Mus musculus: one gene and its partners. The protein of the gene in region 5 binds, or shares a complex with, the protein of the main gene of each other region. Links are inferred from orthologs where the notes say so. Each region holds a gene or a part of one and is shown on either strand. Other genes may lie near its edges. The genes, in order: Nsmce4a, Nsmce2, Eid3, Smc5 and Nsmce1.

What was found.
Region 1: Nsmce1 (region 5) and Nsmce4a share a complex: the UniProt entries of both Homo sapiens proteins name them as parts of the SMC5-SMC6 complex. The link is inferred for Mus musculus from reciprocal best matches to the Homo sapiens genes NSMCE1 and NSMCE4A.
Region 2: Nsmce1 (region 5) and Nsmce2 share a complex: the UniProt entries of both Homo sapiens proteins name them as parts of the SMC5-SMC6 complex. The link is inferred for Mus musculus from reciprocal best matches to the Homo sapiens genes NSMCE1 and NSMCE2.
Region 3: Nsmce1 (region 5) and Eid3 share a complex: the UniProt entries of both Homo sapiens proteins name them as parts of the SMC5-SMC6 complex. The link is inferred for Mus musculus from reciprocal best matches to the Homo sapiens genes NSMCE1 and EID3.
Region 4: Nsmce1 (region 5) and Smc5 share a complex: the UniProt entries of both Homo sapiens proteins name them as parts of the SMC5-SMC6 complex. The link is inferred for Mus musculus from reciprocal best matches to the Homo sapiens genes NSMCE1 and SMC5.

Annotation. Positions count from the first base shown.
Region 1 is NC_000073.6:130,543,879-130,549,085, forward strand, and holds the start of Nsmce4a (non-structural maintenance of chromosomes element 4 homolog A), read right to left. Parts: upstream 3,504-5,207; 5' UTR 3,397-3,503; coding exon 3,114-3,396; intron 2,095-3,113; coding exon 2,017-2,094; intron 1-2,016. UniProt on the Homo sapiens protein: Component of the SMC5-SMC6 complex, a complex involved in DNA double-strand breaks by homologous recombination. The complex may promote sister chromatid homologous recombination by recruiting the SMC1-SMC3 cohesin complex to double-strand breaks.
Region 2 is NC_000081.6:59,453,479-59,458,102, reverse strand, and holds part of Nsmce2 (E3 SUMO-protein ligase NSE2), read right to left. Parts: intron 2,791-4,624; coding exon 2,637-2,790; intron 1-2,636. UniProt on the Homo sapiens protein: E3 SUMO-protein ligase component of the SMC5-SMC6 complex, a complex involved in DNA double-strand break repair by homologous recombination. Is not be required for the stability of the complex.
Region 3 is NC_000076.6:82,864,499-82,868,712, reverse strand, and holds Eid3 (EP300-interacting inhibitor of differentiation 3), read right to left. Parts: upstream 2,088-4,214; 5' UTR 2,007-2,087; coding exon 879-2,006; 3' UTR 783-878; downstream 1-782. UniProt on the Homo sapiens protein: Tissue-specific component of the SMC5-SMC6 complex, a complex involved in repair of DNA double-strand breaks by homologous recombination.
Region 4 is NC_000085.6:23,228,297-23,232,920, forward strand, and holds part of Smc5 (structural maintenance of chromosomes protein 5), read right to left. Parts: intron 3,697-4,624; coding exon 3,523-3,696; intron 3,432-3,522; coding exon 3,262-3,431; intron 743-3,261; coding exon 619-742; intron 1-618. UniProt on the Homo sapiens protein: Core component of the SMC5-SMC6 complex, a complex involved in repair of DNA double-strand breaks by homologous recombination.
Region 5 is NC_000073.6:125,467,104-125,471,727, forward strand, and holds the end of Nsmce1 (non-structural maintenance of chromosomes element 1 homolog), read right to left. Parts: intron 4,157-4,624; coding exon 4,010-4,156; intron 2,043-4,009; coding exon 1,926-2,042; intron 1,297-1,925; coding exon 1,176-1,296; intron 741-1,175; coding exon 661-740; 3' UTR 541-660; downstream 1-540. UniProt on the Homo sapiens protein: RING-type zinc finger-containing E3 ubiquitin ligase that assembles with melanoma antigen protein (MAGE) to catalyze the direct transfer of ubiquitin from E2 ubiquitin-conjugating enzyme to a specific substrate.

The DNA of each region.
Region 1 (5,207 bases), about 5.1 Mb from region 5:
AAGGGAAGATTTTAATCATTCCGAGAGTCACTGCAGAAGTCACAGAGAAAGAAAGGGAAAGCAGACACTGGCTGCTGGGCTCTTGTCTACAACACCCCCTCCTTTGCCCAACAGCTACATAGGCTACTACAAGAAAAGTGTAGATCTGTCTGGACGAGAGCAAGTTCCCTATAGAATTAAAACAGGTGTGACACCCATACCCATGAATGCCAAGCAGGATAACTCTGGGGTTTTTTTGTTGTTGTTTTTTTGAGACAGGGTTTCTCTGTGTAGTCCTGGCTGTCCTGGAACTCACTCTGTAGACTAGGCTGGCCTCGAACTCAGAAATCCGCCTGCCTCTGCCTCCCGAGTGCTGGGATTAAAGGTATGCACCCCGGCATGGAATAACTCTTGAGAGCCCAGCTGAGTGAATAATTTTGCCTTCTACTGAGGGAGGTAACATGGAAGAAGTCAGTAAGATGGACGGTTGATAATAGGGGTGTAAATGAGCCAATCACAAATGAGACCGTGGGTCCAGGCTATGATGGAAGAAAAAGCTTGACAGTGGAAAAGTGGAAGAGGAGCCACAATCCTTCAAGTTCTGGAAGTGATTTAGTGTATGTTCCAGACCAAAAAGGTGAACTGTAAGGAGGCCATGGCCAGAGCAGGAAAGACTGAAGGACAACACTCACTAAACACTGTGACAACGCAAACAACCAGGCATCCTAGATAACTAGAAGCAAACTGTCCGAAAGATCATGAGGAACTGTGGCTAGCAGGGAACAGGGCATCCCTGGTTTCTCTCCTTATCACTGCAGTTGCCCCTTTCTGTTCCTAAAGCAGTGAGAGAGGCCCAAAGAGAAACATGGTCTGTGTAGCTGTCCTGGTCTCCCATCAGGAAGTACACCCACCTTGCTCATTGGATACCAGCCAAAGCGGTCACCACTACAACCAACTGCTGCTGCTTTTAATTCAAACTAATATTGTGGTTTTAAGCCCCCATGCGGCTGGGGAAGAGGGACCAGCAGTTAATACAGAGTACTGCTCTTCCAAGAGGCCTCTGGGTTGGGTTCCCAACACCCTTGTCAGACAACTCACACCCTCCGTGTACTCCAGCTCTGAGAAGAATCCCATATCCTCTTCTGGCCACCACAGATAACTGTATTCATGTGCACAAACCCACATGGACACACAACTTCAAACAAATAGAAAACTCCCAGGAGCCAGATTTCAACACGGAAAGTTCTTCCCCACTGTCCCCAACCACACACAAGAGGTGTGCCTGTAGATGAGGCACCTCCATTAGGTTATAGGTGGATCAATAGCTAAAGGAGGGGAGACCAAGGAAGGAAAAGAAAAGAGGATCTCTGAAGCTGGCTGCACTCTTCTCTAGTTCATCTATCTGCTTAACAGAACATACAAGTGAAACTTTCAAATTCAAGCCAGCAAAAGAATCACGGCTTCTTTTTTGTTAGTCTTTTTTGTTGTTGTTATTTTCGAGACAGGGTTTCTCTGTGTAGCCCTGGCTGTCCTGGAACTCACTTTGTAGACCAGGCTGGCCTTGAACTCAGAAATCTGCCTGCCTCTGCCTCCGGAGTGCTGGGATTAAAGGCGTGTGCCACCACGCCCAGCTAGTTTGTTTGTTTGTTTGTTTTTGAGACAGGGTTTCTGTGTGTAGCTGTAGATGCACAGGAACAGACAGTTGCAGACCAGGCTGGCCTTGAACTCAGAGACCTGCCTCTGCCCCTCCCCCACCCCCCAGTGCTGAGATTAAAGGGTGTGTACCACCACTGCCCAGCTCATGGAAGAGGCTTCTTAAAACAGACTGTACAACTCCTTCCTGACTTCTAGAAATCTTCGAAGAACCCTAAAGCATACACTGTACCAAGTGGTAAGTGCACAGTATTGTTGCTAAAACGGAAAAGGCTCTGGGCCTGTGCACTAGTAAATGGGAATTATGGAACAACAATAATTGGCTTCTATAAAAGTAACCCAGTGAGTATAAGCTGCAATAACAGATTTAAAATCATGAATTACCTTCATTAAACAGAGTGTTAGCTTCTTCCAGGACCTCTGTTAGTTTGTCACCAGCATTCAGTATGTCTTCCCGGTTTTCTATTTAAAAGAATACAAGCTTAGGGAACTGGGCACATCCTTCACTAATAAGTAGCAACTTACAGTTCCTTCCACTCCTACAGCCTGGGTAATGATTAGAGTGGCTTTATCTCTTTAACAGAAAAAGGCTTTATCTTTTACAGAAAGAGACAATGTTACTACTGTTCCAAGCAAATTGAACGTCTGTGTGTGCAGAAGGCCTGGGGTCAACCTTTGATGTCCTTCCCTCAGCGCACCATCACCTTTGCCTTTTGAGACAGGGTATCTATCTATCTATCTATCTATCTATCTATCTATCTATCTATAGAACTATCTATCTATCTATCTATCTATAGAACTAGCCAAGAAGGCTAGGTGAGCTGGCCAAAGAGACCCAGGGTCTCTGCTTCCCCTCGGCTGAGGATACAAGTTTACAGAACTACTTTTAGGAGACACTTTAGAGGGTTCTGGGGAATCTAATTAAGGTCGCAAGAGAAGCATCTGCCCATCTCCCCAGCCCTCAAAACTTGAACTCTTGACAGGAAACACTTGCTCCCCAAATGTGCAAAGGGATGACTCTTCGGCTTCCCAATACAAGGGCTCGATTAAGAAAGGATTGTCAACTTCTCAAGCAACAGGCTCATCTGGAGAGCCACACAACAAACGCTTGGGCCTGTACAGCATTTCTGATTCAGTGTATCCGAGCTGGGCAGGGAAATGTGCATTTTAGCAATCCCAAGGGACTCCATAGCTCAGGCGCCCACGAGGAGCAAGCTAGATTGAACAAAAATCTGGTGGTGTGTGCTTGTCTTCCCTACTGGCTAGCTGAGCTCAAGTCACCACCAGGTCTGGTCTCCCGCTTTTCCAGCCGGCCACACAGCACCTGCGCGGCCGCCGCCAAGGTCGCGTAGGCTGCACTTCGTAAACAAGCGAAAGCGCGCTGCCGCGAGCCTGCGCAGACCGGCCAGCGCCTGCACCTCCACCGCCCTCCCCAGCCATGGAACGCCACCGGCCCGCGCAGCCACAAAGCGCCACCTTACGTTGGACAGAGTTGATGAGAGCGCGGTACTGATGGCGGATCTGGCGGCACAGGCCCTGGTCGTACTCGGCCTCCAAGCAGGCCGGGTCCATCAGCTCGTCCCCAGAATCAGACAGATCGGAGTCCTCCAAGCTCGGACGCTCCGCTGCCTCCCTGCGCTCCGGCGCGGCGCCGCGGCGGGCCAGCGGGGACCGCGAGCGGGACCGGGAGCGGGTGCGATCCCGGTGCGGGTCGCGGCCCCGGCCCCGGCCCTCAGACCGGCGGCCGCTGCTGTCGCCAGACATCGCGCCAATTCGCCTTGCAACTTCGGAGCGGCGGAAGTTCGCGCCAGAAACTGAAACCCCCGGCTGGGCTCGAGCGCCGGCTCCAGGAGCAACGCAGCTCCCCGGCTGGCGCGTGAGCACACAGCGACACCTGTGGCCCGGAGGTCGCGGCGGCGTTGGCTGTGTCTGTGCCTCGCATTGGTTCTTAGTTACTCCACCCTGCAAGCAAGAGTCTTAGGACTTTAGATCTCTGATCCTAATGCCCACCCCACTTAGTCATGCATCTTCCCATTGTCTCTTTGGCTCCTCTGGCCTTGGGGAGGATACAACAAACAAAACAGGGTTCCTTGACTGTACCATAGTAAACTGTTAAGCCTCCTTCTAAATATCTGCACCACCACACGGCAGGTTCACAGCTGATTCTCTAACAACAGATACCCTATAACAGGTCTGAGGAAGATAATTATATGCAATGTGGTTTCAAAGATACATGTATACATATCATTCCATGTAATTGTGTGTGTGTGCACTGTACATAGATACGCATGCACAAGTGTGCATCTGCGGGTACAAACGGCAGGTTGGCTTCAGGGGTCTTCCTCTTTCAGTTCCACATTTTTTAGATTTGTTGTGTGTGTATATACATCCTTTATTTGCGTGCACACTGTGGACGAAATGTATGCAGTGCCCTCAGATGTCAAAATAGGACGTGCACACCTCCTCTGGAACCGGAGTTAAGAAGGGTTTGTGAGCTGCCCTGTGGATAACGGCGATGGAACCCTACTCCTATGAGAACTAGTGCTCTTAACCTCTAAACCATCTCTCCAGCCCACTCTCCACGTTCTTTACCATAAGGCATCTCTAGCTGAACCTGGAACTCGTCTTTTTGACAGGACTTAAATAGCCAGCAAGATCTAGGCATTTTCCTGTCTTCACTTCCAACGCACTAGGATTATGGATCCACACTGCCGTGTACAAGTTTGGTTGTTGTTTTTTGTTTGTTTGTTTTTTGAGACAAGGTTTCTCTGTGTAGCCCTGGCTGTCCTGGAACTCACTTTGTAGACCAGGCTGTCCTCAAACTCAGAAATCTGCCTGCCTCTGCCTCCCAAGTGCTGGGATTAAAGGCATGTGCCACCACCGCCCGCCCATGTACCAGTTTTTATGCCACCTTAGGAATCCTGAGGTAATCTACCCTCTGACACACACACTTCTCCTTCTTCCATCCCTCCCTCTCACATAGGATTTCATGTAACCCAGGCTGGCCTCAAACTGACCCTGTAGCTGAAGCTAATATTGAGTTCCTGATCCTCGTGAATCTAACTACCTCACAAAGGCTGAGAGGATTTTGAGACCAAGATCCAAAGCCTAGTGAGCTCACTGCTACTGAGATATCATTGCTTCTAGAGCCTCCAAAGAAAAAAGAACTAGGAAGCTATGCATAGACACCCTTACACGTATATAAGTGCATCTCTTCATATTTTATGTTGCTGGGTTAATTTAAAACACTAATTTGCATTGACATCACAGAAGAGTGTGTGGGGAAGAAGGGGTGAATGTGATTGATGAAATACTATTCTCTGTATTAATGTAGACTACTGAGAAGAAATGGTTCAGCAGTTAAGAGCACTTACTGCTCTTACAGAGGACCTGGCATCAGTCCTCCGTATCCACATAGTGGCTCCCAGCTGTCTAGAACAACAGTTCTAGAAGATTCGACACCCTCTTTGGACTCCTGCACATACGTGATGCATGTAGCATCACCAGGCATACATGCGCACACATAGCAAATCTCTTTAACAAATAAAACGCAAGCTTATAGCAGTGTCCGATGT
Region 2 (4,624 bases), on a different chromosome or scaffold from region 5:
TGCAACTGTAGCTCACATGAGGAATATGGAGAAAATATTATGGTTGTTTACATAAAAGAACAACCCTTTATATACATACTTCAGTCATTTTTTATCTTTAAGACAGAGTCTTGTCATATAGCCCTGGATAGCCTGGAACTTACTATGTAGTCCAAGCTGGCCTCACGGGGCAGCGATCCTCCTGCCTCTACCTCCTGTGTGCTGGGATTATAGGTACATGTCATCATGCCTGCAGGGTTCTCACTATAGCTTTTACTTCATCAAAACAGGCAACTACAGATGAGGGACTTTGTCTGTGTGTGTTTGTGTATGTGTCTCCCTCTCACTTATATTTTCCAAATTAAAAAAAAAACCAAATATTATTACTACAAATTACAACAACTCCTTAACTCCAGAACATATTTCAAAGCGGATGGATCCATTAGCCCCTTTAATAAGTCACAGTGTACCTTGGATCTGGACACATAACCACTGCACAAGCCTGTTCCATCAGGACCGTCACAGCAGAGTGAAATCTAAAGAACAAAACCTATCAGACATGCTACAGAAGTAACTGGCAGTACTCAAAACACTAAGCTAACAATTCCATTTTGCAAGCGCCACAAAGTATCTTATATAGCACTTTAAAAGAGTATTGATATTTTGTTTGCTCTGCTATTTAAGATCAGGACCTTTTAAAATAACATTTCAGGGGAAATTAAAGGGAAACTTCTGTTATTCCCAGTGTTGCAACGCATGGGGAACTCTTACATAAGGAAGTGTTCTTTTCAATATAAATTTACTTGTCATTAGATTTAACTATCCAAATGATGTATATGGCTGGACTTGGGGAAGCACATCTCTCTTCTCTCTCCTCTCTCTTTCTCTTTCCCCATATTAAAAAAGTAATAATCACAATTTAAACATTAATTTGGTTGCATTATATGCTTCTGATTAGAAATTTCCCCAAGACCATTTATTCTAAAATTCCCTATAATTTCTTTTATGGAACAATAACTTTGTGAATAAGTAACAAAGGAGGAAGAAACATACTTTTTATATATTTATTCCTCGGTTTTATTATAAAATATCTTTAAAATAAGAGGTGAGGCATTAGGTCTGTCATAATGTGTAAGACTGAATTCAAGGGCACTAAAGTTACAAACATGTCTGCTATGGCAGACATAAAACCTGAAAGCCCCACTTTCTCTCTTCTGGGGATTCTGCTCTACTGGGGAACTGCATAAAATTATTTGAGAAAGATTGTGATAGTGACAATGCTCAATCAAGAACCAAATCGAGGGAAACTGCTTACTGTTTAGATCTACAGAACAGCAATAGTCTCATCAGGATTGCAAAACATTCTAAATTGTGAAACTTAAGTTATTTGTAAAATAGACAAAAGTGAAGCAGCTTCCTCAGTCATTTTTGAGATCTCAGCACCAATTTAAAGAAATACTTTACTTAAAAGAAGGCCAACTTCAGCCGGGCATGGTGGCGCACGCCTTTGATCCCAGCACTTGGGAGGCAGAGGCAGGCGGATTAGAGGCCAGCCTTGTCTGCACAGTGAGTTCCAGGACAGCAAGGGCTACACAGAGAAAACCCTGTCTCAAAAAACCTAAAAAAAAAAAAAAAAAAAAAAAAAAACCCACAAAAAAACAAAACCAAAAAAACCAAAAGAAAGCCAACTTCAAAACATGAATCTCTACACTAAGTACATAGAAAGACACAAAATGAATTTACATCACATAACATCCTGCTCTGTCAGTGTACACATAAGTGTGAAAGAAGGCTAACGTTTGAAAGGGAAAAAAGTCATTCACTTTCCTCTTCAATTCTTTAAGGAACAATCGTGTCTCAATCCTAAAACAAATAAAACAAACAAACAAACAAATCCCTATACAACTAAACAGCTGCCTAGACAAGAAAAAAAAAGATCTAACTCACTAACATTGCTCTGAGGACCACATGGAGAAGGTTTACTACTTCTGGTACTGTGTGTGTGTGTGTGTGTGTGTGTGTGTGTGTGTGTGTGTGTGTGTGTGTCTGTCTGTCTATCTGTCTGTCTGTCCGTCCGTCCGTGTCTGTGTGTGTACACAGTGGATTATTTTCCTCACTGTGGAGAAGATATATTATTTCTGGTACACTCTGTAAGGTAGGGGTGTGCGTATGTAAAATGAATTATTTTCCTCACTCTCATTTTCAAGTCAAAACCCTAACTGTTAACAAGCATTTAAGCCAATTTTAAAATCACATGGAACTTATAGTACCCAGGGTACAGTATCAGAGGGACTTTTAAGCATTTGGGAGGAATCCCCGAGGAAACCTCACCAACGCTGCCCCACAGCAGCAAATGGGAACAAATGTACTTCAGAGCTTGGCACAGCAGTTTACGTTTTGAAAGAATTACCATTGTTATCTTAATAAAATGGTTTTTAGTTTTATTTTGTTTTCCCAAGTCCCCTCCCCAGCAGTGAGACACTTTGTGGAAACTGTTGGCTTCAGAAATAGACAGGCAATTGGAATCAGTATTAGACAAACACGAAACTGCAACAAGACAAGCCATTCAGGCAGAGGATGGAGCAAGCAGAGAAGCGGACACTGCTCACAGGTCAGGCCCCTCATCTCAAGAAGCCAGAGCGAAGCGGCTGACTTACATTGCTTCTTCAGCTCCCTCAGCTGTTGCTTGAACTGCACGAACTTTTCATTCTCTTTAAAGTCGGCATCAGAGTTCTTATCCTGTAAAGCCAAAAATTTCTTCTCTACCAGTAATTTTAAATCTGGTACTTTTTCTGGACGTTCTTCTTTTACCTAAGAAAGACCATAAATTCATGTTCGTTAGAGATAATGAGTATCAACAAGGGCTATACAACTGTCTTAATCTCATTTAATTCAAAAGACAGTATGAGAGAGAACAGATCCTCTCACGAGACTACTCAGAAAAAGTGACAGGCTCGCCCACCCTGCCTTCCTGCTCTACACAGCCTGTCACTAAGTCCATGAACTTGTTAAACCCTGCAGAAGAGGCGACTGGCCCAGACCTGGCCTTCACCCCTCTTCTTTCACCTGGATCTGCTCAGCCCATCTCTACATGCAATAGTGTTTATTCCATCTTCAGTTCAGCATCCTCTTGCAGCCCTTGATCTGTGGGTGACAGTGATCCCTACATTAACAAGAGAAACTAAGGTTTTGACTTTCTACAGTTCCCTGGTCTAACAAGGAGTTGAGTGTCCTGCTTGTTCTGTTCAAGGCCAAACACTCAATGTATGTTCTTCTCCCTAAGTATTATAAAGTTCAGCCACACGGAAACATTAAAGGTACTGGATTGTGAACACTATGTATGTCATCACTGCTGCAGTTACCACTCGACTGTGTTTGCCCCTCCACATCTCTTCCCATCTATCGTGCTCTTGAGTCTGTCTTAATTAACTTCCCTAGACCCTCAGGTGCTTTAGAACACACGTGCAGCAGCAGCAGCAGCAGCAGCACTAACAACAGCACTCTATTAGAAGTCTGGCGCTTCCTTCCATGCACTTGTTTTTTGAGCGTAGCCCATGCCTTTGTGGTTTCCACTCTGTTTTGATGGAATGGCTGACAGCACCTTGGTTTAAACAGTTTGCCCCCCCATCAATAGGGCAGTTGGAGACCTCTGAGGTTGGGTCTACTCTTCCAAGAATTGGCTAGGCAAAGCTGAGTAATTATAAATTTTACTTGATGTCTTAAATATTTTCACTACCTGCACTCCCACTCATTCCTCACCAATTTCCGACTGCAAAAGCTTTTTAAGGCCAAATAGTTCCATCCAAACAGCAAGATTTCTAGTGAGGAGAAAACAATAAGCAATTTAGCCTTTATTACGCAGACTTCTAGGAATAATTGTAGGACAAAGGCAGGGAGGACAGCTGGCAAAGCAACTGCCTGGCTCGTGAAGAGTAAACCTGCAAACTCTCTGATGACAAACTAATGGAGCTGCTGCCAGAACAAGCTAACTGTTCACAATTAAGTGTTAGAGCATGGATGAGAAAGTACCCTAGCAGTGGGGAGTCAAGCGATACCACAAAGTCATGCACACAACAAACCTCAGAAAGAAGCAAGCTGTTACTGGGAAGGGAAAACCCAGAAGGATGGCAGAGAAAGCCAAGCAGGTGACAGGAATGAATGAATGAATGAATGAGTGTGTGTGTGTGTGTATTCTCTTTGGAAGCTGGGAGTAGTAGAGCTTTCCAGAGTGGCCCAGCATTAGAAGGATTTTGTGGTTGATCTTAGGGTAAGCTCAGGGGTTGGTAGCTTTTTGTTTGTTTGTTTGTTTGCTTTTTTTTTCTGTAGGCTGGGGCCTGGCCATTCTCCTACCCAGGAGAGGAGGAGCTGTTACAACCATTTGGGAAGTCTGGGAGGAGTTGTCCAGTGGAGCTCCTAAGGGGCCGAGCCTGGCCACTCACACCTGGAGAGGTCAGGCCTGGCCATCAGAGTAGCCCAGGGGCGGAGCCTGATGGTAGAGGGCTGCAGAGGAAGGGCTTAACAGTGGGAAAGTTAGTGTGAATAGCCAACATTTCATCTTCTCAGAACCCACCAGAGATGACATAACCTTACATATTACAGATGGGAAAGTGAAAAATTAGACATAGCAGGTCTTGTACACAGCACT
Region 3 (4,214 bases), on a different chromosome or scaffold from region 5:
GGGACACTGCTAGTAAAAATCATGATGATACTGAGTGGTGAAAGATTAGCCAAAGATAAGGCTTGCAACTGGGAGTGACAAATATTGTCTACCTCTGAACACTGGCGAGGTCAGGGACATTCCCGCCTGCTTCATAGTCAAGGGTAAATTTTCTGTAAATCTGCCCAGCCTCTTGGGTCATGACTCGTCTCAGTGGCACAGATTTGATCTTGTTTTCTTCCCTAGGATGCCTTCTCCCCCAGTGTGGTGGGAGGCAGAGGCAGGTGCAGGCAGGTCACTGTGAGTTCCAGGCCAGCCAGGGTTCCATGAGGAGACCCTGTCTCAAAACCAAGCCAGGATGCCTTCCCTATTGTCTAACTTGGACCTGCCTTTCAAGACTTAGTGGCTTCAGTCTTACAGTACACACACACACTTTTATTAAATTCATTTATCAAAAACAAAGTTCAGAATACAGAGATCCACTTTTTGAAAGGAAGCCCGTCACCTGGACTTGAGAGTCTGAACACTACTGACTTTTCTTGTCTTGTTCTCACTCTTGCCCCGACCTGGTGAAAAGCCCCCTTGCCCTTAGTTTTGCAGCGTCAGAAAAAGCAATTCAGTATCCCAGTGAGTCCTGGTTTTTGTGTTTAGCAAGTTGGCTAATTAATACTTTCTAAGAAACTCGGGAGCTTACTGAGAGTGTCATGTGAATTTCAAAAAAACTTTCCCATAAGCATGAGAGTGAACTTTTAAGATTACAACCTTATTAGATTATCAAGTAAAATACACTGCACAGTAGACAATTTCATTTGTTCTTGAAAATAGTTTACTAGAGTTTGTGCTTCTGTTTAGATTCCATTTTTCGATGTTAGTTCAAGATATACTATGAATAAAACTCTTTAATATGAGTTTTTGATCATAGCCTCTGAAATTTCAAAAGTGGAGACAATATTTTTCCAGTCCTGTAAACTCAAAGATATAACGCCTTGTTTCCTGCAGTACGAATAGGAATCACTTTCATCATCCACCTGGCTCACATTAGTTGGCTCTAGAATTGGCAGCCTGTCTTGGTCAAGCCTTATTCTTGCAAAGCCATCCCTAATAATAAAAGACACATAGAAGATATTCTCCACAGTGCGAGAGAATGAGTTTGGATCAATCACAAACTCAAAGTATGACACTGGAGTATCGGGGTACTTTTGAAAGTAGGTTTGCAGCAATCCCAAGATTCTCTCAACTTCTTTTTCTGTCGTCTCCTGATTAGCATGCACATCCAGCCTCCTCAACTTTGTAGGCATATCTCCACTTCCTTCCATTTTGCAAGCTCTTTTGTGACATCCAAGCCGGGGCTTTCGTGCAGAACGTTCTGCCTTAAATGACCCAAAAATGAAGTGGAACGTTTCGGCTTGCAGCATCCAGGAGGTTGCTTCCTCGTGCAACATGCCCCAAAAGGAAAGAACTATGCTATCATCGCAGTCGCTAAATTCCTTACACTCCTCTTCTACCCAATTGAAGCCCACAAACAACAGCAGCAAATCGCAGAAGGCAATGGGATTAAAAAAGTTCATATCGGTGTTTAGCTGCTTCGCCTTCTCTTTACCCAGATCAGAGGCCAAAACCAGGAACTGGGCATCAAGGGCTGCCTCTCTGGTTCTGCTCACTCCGTCAAACAGCACGTTGGCTTCCTCCAGGGCCTCACTCAGCGTGTCGCTGGCCGTGTTCACAATGTCCTCGCGGTTCTGCTGCACGGTGTAGATGAGCTGCCGGTACTGCCTGCGGATTTTGCGGCACTTCTCTCGATCCACCACCAGCTCCAGGAGGTCTGGGTGCATGCAGGGGGGCTCGGGGTTCGGGTCATCGGAGCTACTGTCTGAGCCTTCCTCCTCCTCATCTTCCCCTTCCTCCTTTTCTTCCTTCTTCACTGCCTCTTCCTCCTCCTGTTTCACCAGGTGCTGCCATGCCAGACTCCGGACCAGCTCCCCTCTTTTCTCTTTGCCTCCAGTAAGGGAACATTTTTCTTTAGACATGGTGGTGGTGCGCAGGTAACAGCTCTCCCAGGGCTACTACCATACTACCTACCAACCGTAGCGACGCGAGATGGCAAAGGTAAGCCGTTGGAACAGAGCCTCCTGCCCATGCGCAAGCAACCCCGCCCCCCAGCTCACAGAGACCACACCTCCAGCCCAGGCTCCCGTTGTTCTTTTTCTGCTTAGAGGGAAGTACATGCTAATTCACAGCATGAAGGATGCTTCTTGCCCCCCACCCCCACCATCCCTTACACTCTTAGGAGTGTCTCCACTCAAGGGTGGAAGAACAGTGGGCAGGCAGGATTTTGCAAGGGAAGCCTGCCAAAGGCTAAATGCTTTTATACACTACAGAGGAGGTTAACCTGAATCCTATAAGATGAGCAAACTAAGAAGATTTTTAGTATCATCTCGCACCATCTGTGTTATCACCTACTGGGTGAATAATATGCTTTGGGAACCACACACCAGCTCACCAGTGACCCATGGCGCAATTAAGTGGCTGGAGTTATCAGTGCACAGCGATTTAACAATGTGAGGAGTGTTTTGTTTCTAAGTTCAACAAGCGCATCATACCCAACTCTCACCACAGAAAGCTTGGGGGGGGGGGGGGGGCACGGGACTCTGTCAGTGACAGAGTTCAGCACCCCATGGGGTAGCTCACAGCCACTGCCTGTAACTCCAGTTCCAACACTTCCTTCTAGCCTCCACTGGCAATCATGTGTGCATGCACATACTTTTAAAAATAAACCTTCAAAAAGACGAACCACTCAACGTGAGTGAAAGAATCAACTCCGCAAACTTGTCCTCTGAATTCCATACATGGACCATGGTACTCATGTCTACACATATGCTGTCTTTTAAACTTGACATACAGACCAGGGTACTCATGCCTAAACATACATCATACATATATCACAATACTAATTTTTAATTTTTTAAAATGGGCTGAAGGGGCTGGAGACAAGGTTTAGATGTTAAGAGCACTTACAGGCTCACAACTTTAACTCCACCTCAAGGAATCCAATCTAAAAATGGGCTGGAAGAAAAGCCTGTGTCCCAGTCTTTATCTACTTATATTAACTTAGACGGGTGCTAAATCTGCAAGCCACCACTGTCCCTCATTTATAAGATGGGAATTATAACATATAGAATAAAAATTATATAATCAGTGGTTTTAACTACCGAGTACATACTTACTATGTTCTTTTATATACAAAGCAATGATTTTTTTCATTGTTTTAGGTTTTAGGAAAAGAAAAATATTTTTAGGTTGAGGATGTACATACAGGCCTCTGTACTCAACACGCACATATCCACATTTAAATGTACACATCTTTAAATGAAAAAAAAAAATGCTTCTGTAATTTCCATATACTTGAGTTTCCTCATTTGCAAAATCGGTCTCCTGCGTATTCCACTCTATCTTAAAAACTATTACTGATCTTTTTTCTTTTTTTTTTTTTTTTTTTGGTTTTTCGAGATAGGGTTTCTTGTGTAGTCCTGGCTGTCCTGGAACTCACTCTGTAGACCAGGCTGGCCTCCAAAGCAGAAATTCACCTGCCTCTGCCTCCCAAGTGCTGGGATTAAAGGTGTGCACCACCACTGCCCACTGTCCGACTCCTTTTTTTTTCTTTTGGCATATACGGTGGCTTATATGGGTATGGCCCCCATATGTATGCTTGGCCCATAGGGAGTGGCACTATTAGGAGGTTTGGTGTTGTGGAAGGACGTGTCACTGTGGGGGCAGGCTTTGAAGTTTCCTATGCTCAAGCTATGCCCAATGTGGCACACAGTCTCCTTCTGCTGCCTGCAGATCAAGATGTAGAACTCTGGGCTCCTTCAGCACCACGTCTGCCTGGACACTGCCATTCTTCCCACCATGATGATAATGGACTGAACCTCTGAAGCTGCAAGCCAGTTCCAATGAAATGTTTTCCTTTCTAATACTTTGCCATGGTCATGTTGTCCCTTCACAGCAAGGAAACCCTAAGACAGCATACGTTTTCTAGTAGTGTTGTGGATTGAACCTTGAACTTAGGGCCATGGCAAGCCAGGCAATCCCTCTATACCACTCAGCTTACCCCTAAGTCCTAACAAAAGTATTTTTAAATGTGTATATCATCATACAGATCTGTGTCAGAGATAACAGGGTAAGGCCTAGCCTCACAGTTGCATGATTAACTGAAGTGGCCTCTTTCTTTCTGACAA
Region 4 (4,624 bases), on a different chromosome or scaffold from region 5:
CTAGAAACAAACAATCCATAAGATTTTGGTTTTTATGTTGTCTAAGTTGCTTAAGTTTTACAACCATGAAAAATGCCACAGTTCTTTTTTTCAAAACAAAATTATGAATCATGAAAAAATAACATTTTCTTGTGATTGACATCTCCATCAAATGGTTAATATAAAACTACTTTAAAAAGTTACTTTCTAAATATTTAGGTCATTTGAAAGAAAATAATTTAGCCTAATGAGTTAACTTTTAAGATTCTCTGCAAGTGGGCTGGTGAGATGGCTCAGTGGGTAAGAGCACCCGACTCCTCTTCCAAAGAGTCCAGAGTTCAAATCTCAGCAACCACATGGTGGCTCACAACCATCAGTAACAAGATCTGGCATCTCTGGAGTGTCTGAAGACAGCTACAGTGTACTTACATATAATAAATAAATTAAAAAAAAAAGATTCTCTGCAAGCATTAAAACCTAAACAAGCCGAAAATGACTATAAAAATCTCTTGCTTATATCACCAAACTAGAAAAACACTTTAAAGTGATGATTTCTCATAAAGTCCTCCAAATATTACTAAATTTTAGTATTTAGCAAGTGTTTTTAAAAAATATTGAAAATTAAGAAAAACATCTTACCTTTACAAGGCCTGTTAATTCAGTAACAAGTTTTGCTTTCTGAACATTTATTTCTTTTATTTTGGTACTTGCTTTTCGTTCTTCCTCTTCCAGATTGCAAGTATCCTGTTCCATCAGCCTTATACTGTATGACAGACACATATAATGATGGAGAGATCAGAGCTAAACAAAGGACCGAGTCCAAAGCCTTAGGTCCCCGAAGTTTTTGGGTTATATAATAATAATGGTAATCAGAAGTATAAATACTAGTTTCTAGATTAAGGACCTTTTAATACAATCAGTCAGGATCAAAATATACTGTGGAGCTATATGACCAGCAAAGTCTAGTGTCAGGAATGGTGCTGATGCAGAATATGGAGTCAGAAGGGAAGTTTGAATTCCCCACTGTCAGTCATCAAGAAGCGAAGCTGGAGCTTTAGCTTCCTCATCTGTACACTGCAGATGGAAGAAAAAACACAACATAGAATAATACCTGGCCCAGAAATTATTTATTTATTAATACAGGTTGATACTGACATTGTTCATAAAACACAGTCCTTAAGCAGGTAGAGCTGACCCATTCGTAAAAAAACCAGAAGAAAAATCAACATAAGGGTTAGGAATGGAGCTCAGTTGGTGGAGTGCTTGCTTAATAAGCACAAAGACTTGGATTCCATCCCCACAGCAGCACTGATCTGGAGTGGAGGTACACAACCCAGCACTTGGGAGGCAGAGGCAGAAAAATCCCAAGTTTGAGGTAAGTCAGCTACACAAGTGTGAGGCCAGCCTGCCACATGAGCTACACCCTGCACCCTGACAATTATCACTGAGATGATTTTAAAGATGAAGAAACAAAGTCATCACCTACAATTATAGATATTAAGTTGTAGGATAAGTTTAATCCATGGTCTGTCTTCCCACTAAACCATGGTGATTCCGAGGAGACAGAGAGGGCAGAAGTTGTAGGTCCTAACTAAGAACCACAAGTACAGCGGATGCTGTCCAAGGAAGCGGATGCTGCTGCACAGGAAAGCAAGATGCGTAATACTTATGAAAGCCTTCGGAAGCGCAAGGTGCAGCCTGGCAAGAACCGCTAACCCATCCACCCACCCCTAACTTTTCAAACAGCATCTGGATGAACTGAACGGAGGGTCCAACCATCGCTGCAGGGCACCACCACAGAGTGAATAAAGGCAGAAATAAAAGTAATGGGCTGGTAATAAACAAAAACTCATTTTCTCCCAAAAATCATTAACAAGAAAGTCTTAAACAAGCTTCAACAAGGGAATCACAGAAGTCACACAGTAAAGTTTAAATGGTTTGTCAATAATTGAAGATAGGATTAATGTGAAGGGTTGAAGTTGATAAACAAGGTTAAAAATTGAAAAAGAAAATGCAGGAAAGAAGCTATTTGCTTTATTTTTATTTATTTTTTTTTAAAAAGATTTATTTATTTATTTATTTATTTATTTATTTATTTATTTATTATATGTAAGTACACTGTAGCTGTCCTCAGACACCCCAGAAGAGGGAGTCAGATCTCATTACGGATGGTTGTGAGCCACCATGTGGTTGCTGGGATTTGAACTCCTGACCTTCGGAAGAGCAGTCGGGTGCTCTTACCCATTGAGCCATCTCACCAGCCCGCTATTTGCTTTAAAAAAGATTAAAAACAAAGAAAATTTCTGTAATATAGTTTGTTGTCTTTTTTTAAAAAAAAATCTTTTCTGATTTTCCCAGCTTTTTAATCTTATATTTTGAAAACTTAGTAGGAATACTGTATTCACATCATTTCCATATACCTCCCTTTCCTGCCTCCAACCACTCTATCCTACACCCCTCAAATTCATGATATCTCTATATTCCTTTGTCTCTCTGTGAGTCTGTTTAGTGTTTCTCATATGTACACGTATGTATTAAGGCTTACCACTTGGAGCCAGGAGTGGTGGCGCATAAGTTTAATCCCAGCACTCGGGAGGCAGAGGCGACAGATTTCTGAGTTCGAGGCCAGCCTGGTCTACAAAGTGAGTTCCAGGACAGCCTGGGCTATACAGAGAGACCCTGTCTTGAAAAAACAAACAACAACAACAAAGGCTTACCACTTGGGATTAGATAACCTATCAGGAAGAATGATAACTCGGGGAAAAATGATTCACCCTCTCTCAACAGCCACCGACTGCTTGGAGCTCTTTATTTACGGATAGGGCCTTGTGAAATGTCCCCAGTCTATGCCATCATGTTTACCAGCTCAAAAAAGAATCCTCAACAGTGGAATAGTAGCACTTTTATATTAGAGGCAACCAAAAGTTGTCTAACTGGACTTAAGGCCTGCTCAATAGCAGGTATTTCATTCCTGGTATTACAAACCTAGATAATTACACATGTCTAGAGGTCACAGACCTTAGGAAAGAAACTACAACTGTCATTTTTCTACATGAATATAATTTCTAACTGCATTCTAAACACTTACACTTAGGCACTGAGTGGGTGAGAGGACTGGAGAGAACACTTTAGTCTGACTTTTGCCCTATGCACCACGACTGCAATTTGAAAGCTGATATTAAAACTTTAGAAATTACTATAACCTGCTGCTGCCATTCCACGACTGAGCTAGCAGACACTCAGGCCATGTGTTTTGAACTCCCATCTCAAGCCACGCAGTACCTTGCCAGCTTGGAGCTGATTTTCTGCTCCAGCTGCCTTTTCCTGGTTTTTCTTTCAAGAAGCTCCTTCTTCTTCAGCCTTAGCTCGTTGTCTTTGAGCTCAAGGTGCCTGTTCGTATCACGCAAGGCAGCCAACCCTGAGTCCACTGCTTCCAGTTGTCTATTCATTTCCTAAGGAGTATTAAAAAATTGTTAACAACCTTTTAAATTAAAGTCTTAAAACTCCAGTTGACATTTTAGTAACTAAATCAAGTGAACCAACCTTTAGCTGCTCTTCCAAGTGTCTTCTTTGCTCTAGATCCACAGTAACAGTGAGGAACTGGGCTACTTTCAGGGATGTATTACTAGAAATAACTTTATTTGAATACACAGAAGTTTTTAACACATACTTTTCTTCTGCTGTATAAATTTGTTTTAATCGAGTTTCTTGTATTACCTGTAATGTAAAGCAGGAATTCATAAATATCTAATAAAAAGTATAATATATGCTTCAAAGGACTAAAGAATTAAGACCAAAACCCAGGCGAATTCTAGTAGAGCAATATCCCCGACTCAACACAAGCTATCCAACACCTCTAAGTGTGGCTAATGCACCCTAGGGAAATGTTTGGGAAGGCATACTTTCAGAGTGATGAGAAAGCTCACTAAACAGTGAAAAGGCTGCGATTTCGCTTTGCTGACATCTCTCCCAAGGACATGTAGTTTGGTAGTTTTTCCTAAGAGACACTAAGAGCCCAGTGCCCAATGGTTTACGCTTTCCTCCCCTTCACTGCACTGGTTAAAGGAACATAATCTCAGACTTCCTTTTTCCATGTTGACAATACTAGATGAAAATACTTTTCATAGAGTTCAAAGAGTTTTTATTTTGACCTTTGTTCTTTAATCATTTTTCTTCATTTACACAAGAGTTTCACAAATCAAAACATTCTAAGCACCATAATATCATTACATCTGATTTTTCTACTATCAATAATAGGTTGTTGTGATTCCCACCCTACCCCCGGTCTCGGAAGCTTCACGACCAACACTGTTAAGGTTTGTCTTACTAGAGAAATTCCTAGTCTAAATGAAGAGATAAGACCCTTTAACATCTTTGTTTTTATTGGCTGTTTGACACAGGTACTCAGTTTTAGTAGGAACACGGAGCCTGCCTGAGACATGTTGACTGACTCTTTACCTGCTTCCAACTGAAGTCTAACCTATTGCCTCTTCAGTAAGACTTCATTATCTTCAGGGTTGATAGTGTGTATATACACCTTACAGTTGCCACAGGGGCATGGTCACTTTCTAAACACGTCTCCATCATTTTCCTTTAGTCAATCCATGTTTCCCTCCCATCCCAGCTCCCCTTCCAGGTCTACCCT
Region 5 (4,624 bases):
GGTGAGTAGAAGCAGGCAGGGAACCACAGTGCAGCAAGTAGTGATCAAGGAAGTTCAACGGGCACTGTGGTTGTGAGCCCAGGGACCAAAGAGGAGGAGCTGAGGAAGGAAGGAAGGCTGAGGTGAGCAGGTGAGAACCCTCACCATGAGTCCTAACTCAATGCAACCATCTGAAATCAAACCAAGGTCTCGGCGGCAGGGTACGGCATTTGACTGTCCAGGGGACTGAGGCCAGGAGCAGAGCAGCTGCGGCAGCTGGGAATGAGAGGTGGGATCCAGTCTGGCCAGCAGTCGTGAGGCCAAATGGACAGGGTTTGAGGACAGCCTGATCTAGTCCAGCCCAGCCTGCAGGGGTCTACTGCACTTGGGGCCAGAGTAAGGGCCTATTGTAGCTGTGGACACTAAGGTTAATATCATGGGCCAAAACTGCAACGAAGCAATGGCACCCAGAGCCAGCCAAAGAGACATCTGCCCAGGGCTGCCGTTCAGGCCAGTCCACTCAACTCAGCAAGGGGAACCCAACCTCACACAAGCCCTGGATTACAGAGCACAGCGCCATCAGGAAACATTTACTAAAAACGTGTTAAGAACAAATAACAAAGGAGGCACGGCAGTCCTAAATGGACTGTGAGGGTCAGCCCAGAACGATGCAGGACACAGCTAGTGCTGCCGGGTCCGTAAGGACTTTCTGCTCGACTTGGAGATGCCAGCTTCCCTCTCCTTCTCAGGGTTGTAGACTTCTGTGTATAGAACAGCACAGAGACACACAATGAGCAGCAGGACCAATGGCCTGATCACACAGTACAGTACAGCAGCTACATCTACAGCTGTTTCCCATGAGGACATGTCACTGTTAACCCTCCTCCCACAGCACCGTGAGCCAGGCAGCATGGCTCACTGAGGGAGCTGGGGAGTGGCTTTCCCATCCCTGTCCCTGGGTGGCTATAAGGACAGCCTTGTTTGGCTCTCACAAACCTTGGGGTCTATTGGATTTTAGAGCCCTGTAGGATAAGGCAGTGTTCACCTGTGCTTCAGCAGGTCACTAACGATGATCTTCATGCTCAGAGACCTCCTCATGCCTCGGGTGCTCTTGGGGCCCAGACTTAGAACAGAGGTCCCACAGACAGCCCATCACAAGGTCACCCCATCCCATAAGCACTCTGGAGGCCACGTACCTGGTATATCGTGGGGCCAGTAGTCATTACAGTGGGGGCAGTGTGGTTCAGGGATGGACTGGAAGTATTTGGCCACACAAGGCAAATGCATCCTAATTCCACACGTCTCACAACTTTGACCCTGAAACAAGAAAGCCTGATGACCATGGACAAGCACATCTCTCAACTTCACAAACCTTCAGAAAGCTGCAAGAAAATGGCTAGCAGGCTGGAGGGTTTAACCTTCTAGGCCCCAACTTAATGCTGGCAATAAACCCAAGCCCCTGACCAGAGAGTCCCTGGTGGGAGATAGAGGCATACAGTTTTGTAGTAGGCCAAGTAGCAACATGTATCGCACACTTTACGATCAAGAGAAGCATGTTATAAGCCAGAGAATCTGAACATAGAAATACCATGGGCCCCATGGATACACATATAGAAGATCAGTATGGAGCCTGGTTGTCCAAGATAATCAAAAAGAAGCAAACTCAGGCATCCAGCCAGACTGAGTCGTAGGGGACCCTGCAAAGCAGAACAGCAGAATGGTGGGGACAGAAAAACCTGCCACAGAGCTACCAAGGCTTAAGGTATCAGCCAGCACCTAACAGTACCCTGGGATACGGCTGAGTGGCCAGGGAGAGAGCTAGGGAGTGCAGCAGCAGGAGTATAGCATGGCCTGTCCTAAAGCTGCTATATCCTGAAGTATATAGTAACAGTAGAGGTCCAGTGGGCTGAGCATCAGGACCCCACTCCCACTGCTGCCTGCAGTACCTGGATGAGGAGGCCGTGGCAGATGTTGCACATCTTCACAGAATCTGGGTAGCTCTCTCGGATGAACTGCTCCATCTCCAAGATAGCCCGGCCATGCAAGGTGAACTCTCCCTCCTTCTGCAGAGATACAACACACTCACGCTAGCTCAGTGCTGACTCTCCGGGTCCCACAGCCCAGAGTGCAGGAGGACTAGGTCTAGATACTCTAGTCACTGCACACTGTCACCAATCCCAGCCAACCAATGTCAGCAAAGTCCCCTTAGCCAAATCTCCAGAAAGGGAAACTAAATGTCAGACAATGGAGGCGAAGGTCTTCTTACCCTCCAGATCTCAGAACCTCCCCTGCCTTCACAGATATGATGACCCCATCTTCACAGCCACCCTACAAGCTAGTCACAGTTGGTGTCGTCAGCAAGAGAAGACAGAGGCCAGGGAGGAGAGCAATATCCCAATGGGTAACCCAAGATAACCCCAGCCGGGTGCCCACTTCCCAGCCCTTTACCACCAGTGTTGCCCCATCACTGCCAGCCCTGCCTGCCACTTTACAAATGAAGCTGGAAGAGCCAGCGTGGAGGCTCAGTGATCCTGGGCATGTGACGTGGACAGAGGGAAGCTGACAGGACGGCCACACACAAAGGTGGCCCTGTAATAGAAGGAGGCTGAGGAGACAGTCCAACAAGATAGTCCCCCTGATACTGTTGTCTTCCACACTGGAGTTCCCTCCCCACCCACCAGTGGGGAAGGATGCTTGTGGAAGACAGGCTTCCTTTCCAAGGCAGAAGTGGCAGGGTGGAAACAGAGCATTTATGAGGCGGCCTGGTGACTAAAGAAGTGAGTGAAATTAGTTCCAGGAGCAAGAGTGGGCAGTGGGCAAGGAGTTCAGAAATAGAAAGGCTGTTGTACACAGAGCACAAGAATCCTGAGCAGTGGTTATTGCTAGGCAGACAGGGACGTGGGGCCTCCTCAGATGTGGCAGGAGCATGGCTAACTTGCAAGCTAGTCTCAGTTCTGTGGGAACCTGTCAAAGATCCCGGGTCCATACTAGTGGCCAGCTTCCTGAACCTCCTTCTCCTGCTCTTGAGGCTGCATGCCACTAGAGGGAGCCAACCTGAACTACGAGGAAAGGTGGGCCAAGCTCTGATGCCTGACTTACCACCCTCCAGTCCAGAGCCTCCTAGTGGACCATCCAGCTGCATAATACCTAAGCCCTTGAGCAATGAAACCTTGTGGGAAGCCTTAGCAAAGGGAGGCTGCATTTCTGAGGCCAAAGATGCCTCTAAAACCGAGTCCCTCGGATCAAGGAACCAGATGCCTAGGAAGGCTTGGCAGGGACCAGCCAGCAACCCGGTCAACAATCCTTCAGTGGGGCCCCTACAGAACTCACAGCAGCCCTGCCCAGAAAGTGGAGGAGCCCAGAGGTGCTCTCCCAACCGCGACCCCTACTGCCTGAGCCTGTGCCTTCCTTCACCAGATACATGGTGAACGAGAACTCAAGGGATACCCAGTGACAGGACTGAGAAGATTGAGGGGCTGATGGGTGGCAAGGTGGAGGGCCTCCATGCTCCCCTCCACAACAGCTCACAGATTTTTTTCAGGACTCCCATTAAACCCTTGCAGCCAAAAAAAAAAAAAAAAAAAGCTGAGCAGTGGTGGCACACACCTTTAATCCCAGCATTCTTTGGGAGGCAGAGGCAGGCAGAATTCTTAGTTCGAGGCCAGCCCGGTCTACAGAGTAAGTTCCAGAACAGCCAGGGCTACACAGAGAAACCCTGCCTTGAAAAAAAAACAAAACAAAACAAACAAACAACAAAAAAGAAAACGCTTGCAGCAGCTCCAAGCTGTCTACAGAAGGGACAGCCAGCAACTTCATTCTGAAAGGCATCTGATAAGCCTTCCATTGATTCCAGCCTCTTCCACTTGTGGCTGCAGCACTTAAGACAGACCATGTGAAAGTCAGGGAACACAGGCTCTCCTCTCAGAGGTCATGGAAAGCTTACAATAGAGAAGGGCCCACAGACAGGCCGGGCTCAACTGCTAGCACACAGACTGTGCACTCCTGAGTGAACGGGGAGGCCCCAGGGTACCTCAATCAACCACTTGCTCTGCACAAACTTCTGCAGCACCTGCTCGGCCTCCTTCTTCCTCATCTTTTTCCCTTTGAGTTGATCAACTAGGTTCAAAATGTTTGTAGAAGAAGCAAAGCCAGTTTCTGAGTCAACGATCAGTTCCAGCTGCAAGAGAAAGAGGTGCCTTATTCATCTATTTGAATAACAAACTCGACACCTAAGCCTCCAGCCAGCCCTGGTAGGAGAAGCTGCATGGACCCACACCAGGCACATCCCTACGACAGGTGCTAGGTATCCAATGTGCACACAGGTTGTGGCCCTTGTCCTAGCTTTATTCTCCACACACTGTAGACAGCCTAGGAGCACCACAAAATGGTTAAACTAGAAAGTCTACCTGCCTCGATGGGCCCAGTCAAGCTGAAACTGGAGAGGGGCGCTCCTTTCCCACCTTCCCCAGAGCTGCTATGTGCTCCCAGGACTCAGAACGTCTTAGCCAGGTGTGTGGCACATGGGCTGAGCACACTGCTACAAAGCTTGGACAAACCGTCCAGTGAGCGCCTCATTAAAGTGCAGGGCTGGGTTTGGAGCATTCTGGGCCAGGGACTGGGACCCATGCACTCCCACGAGTTCTCA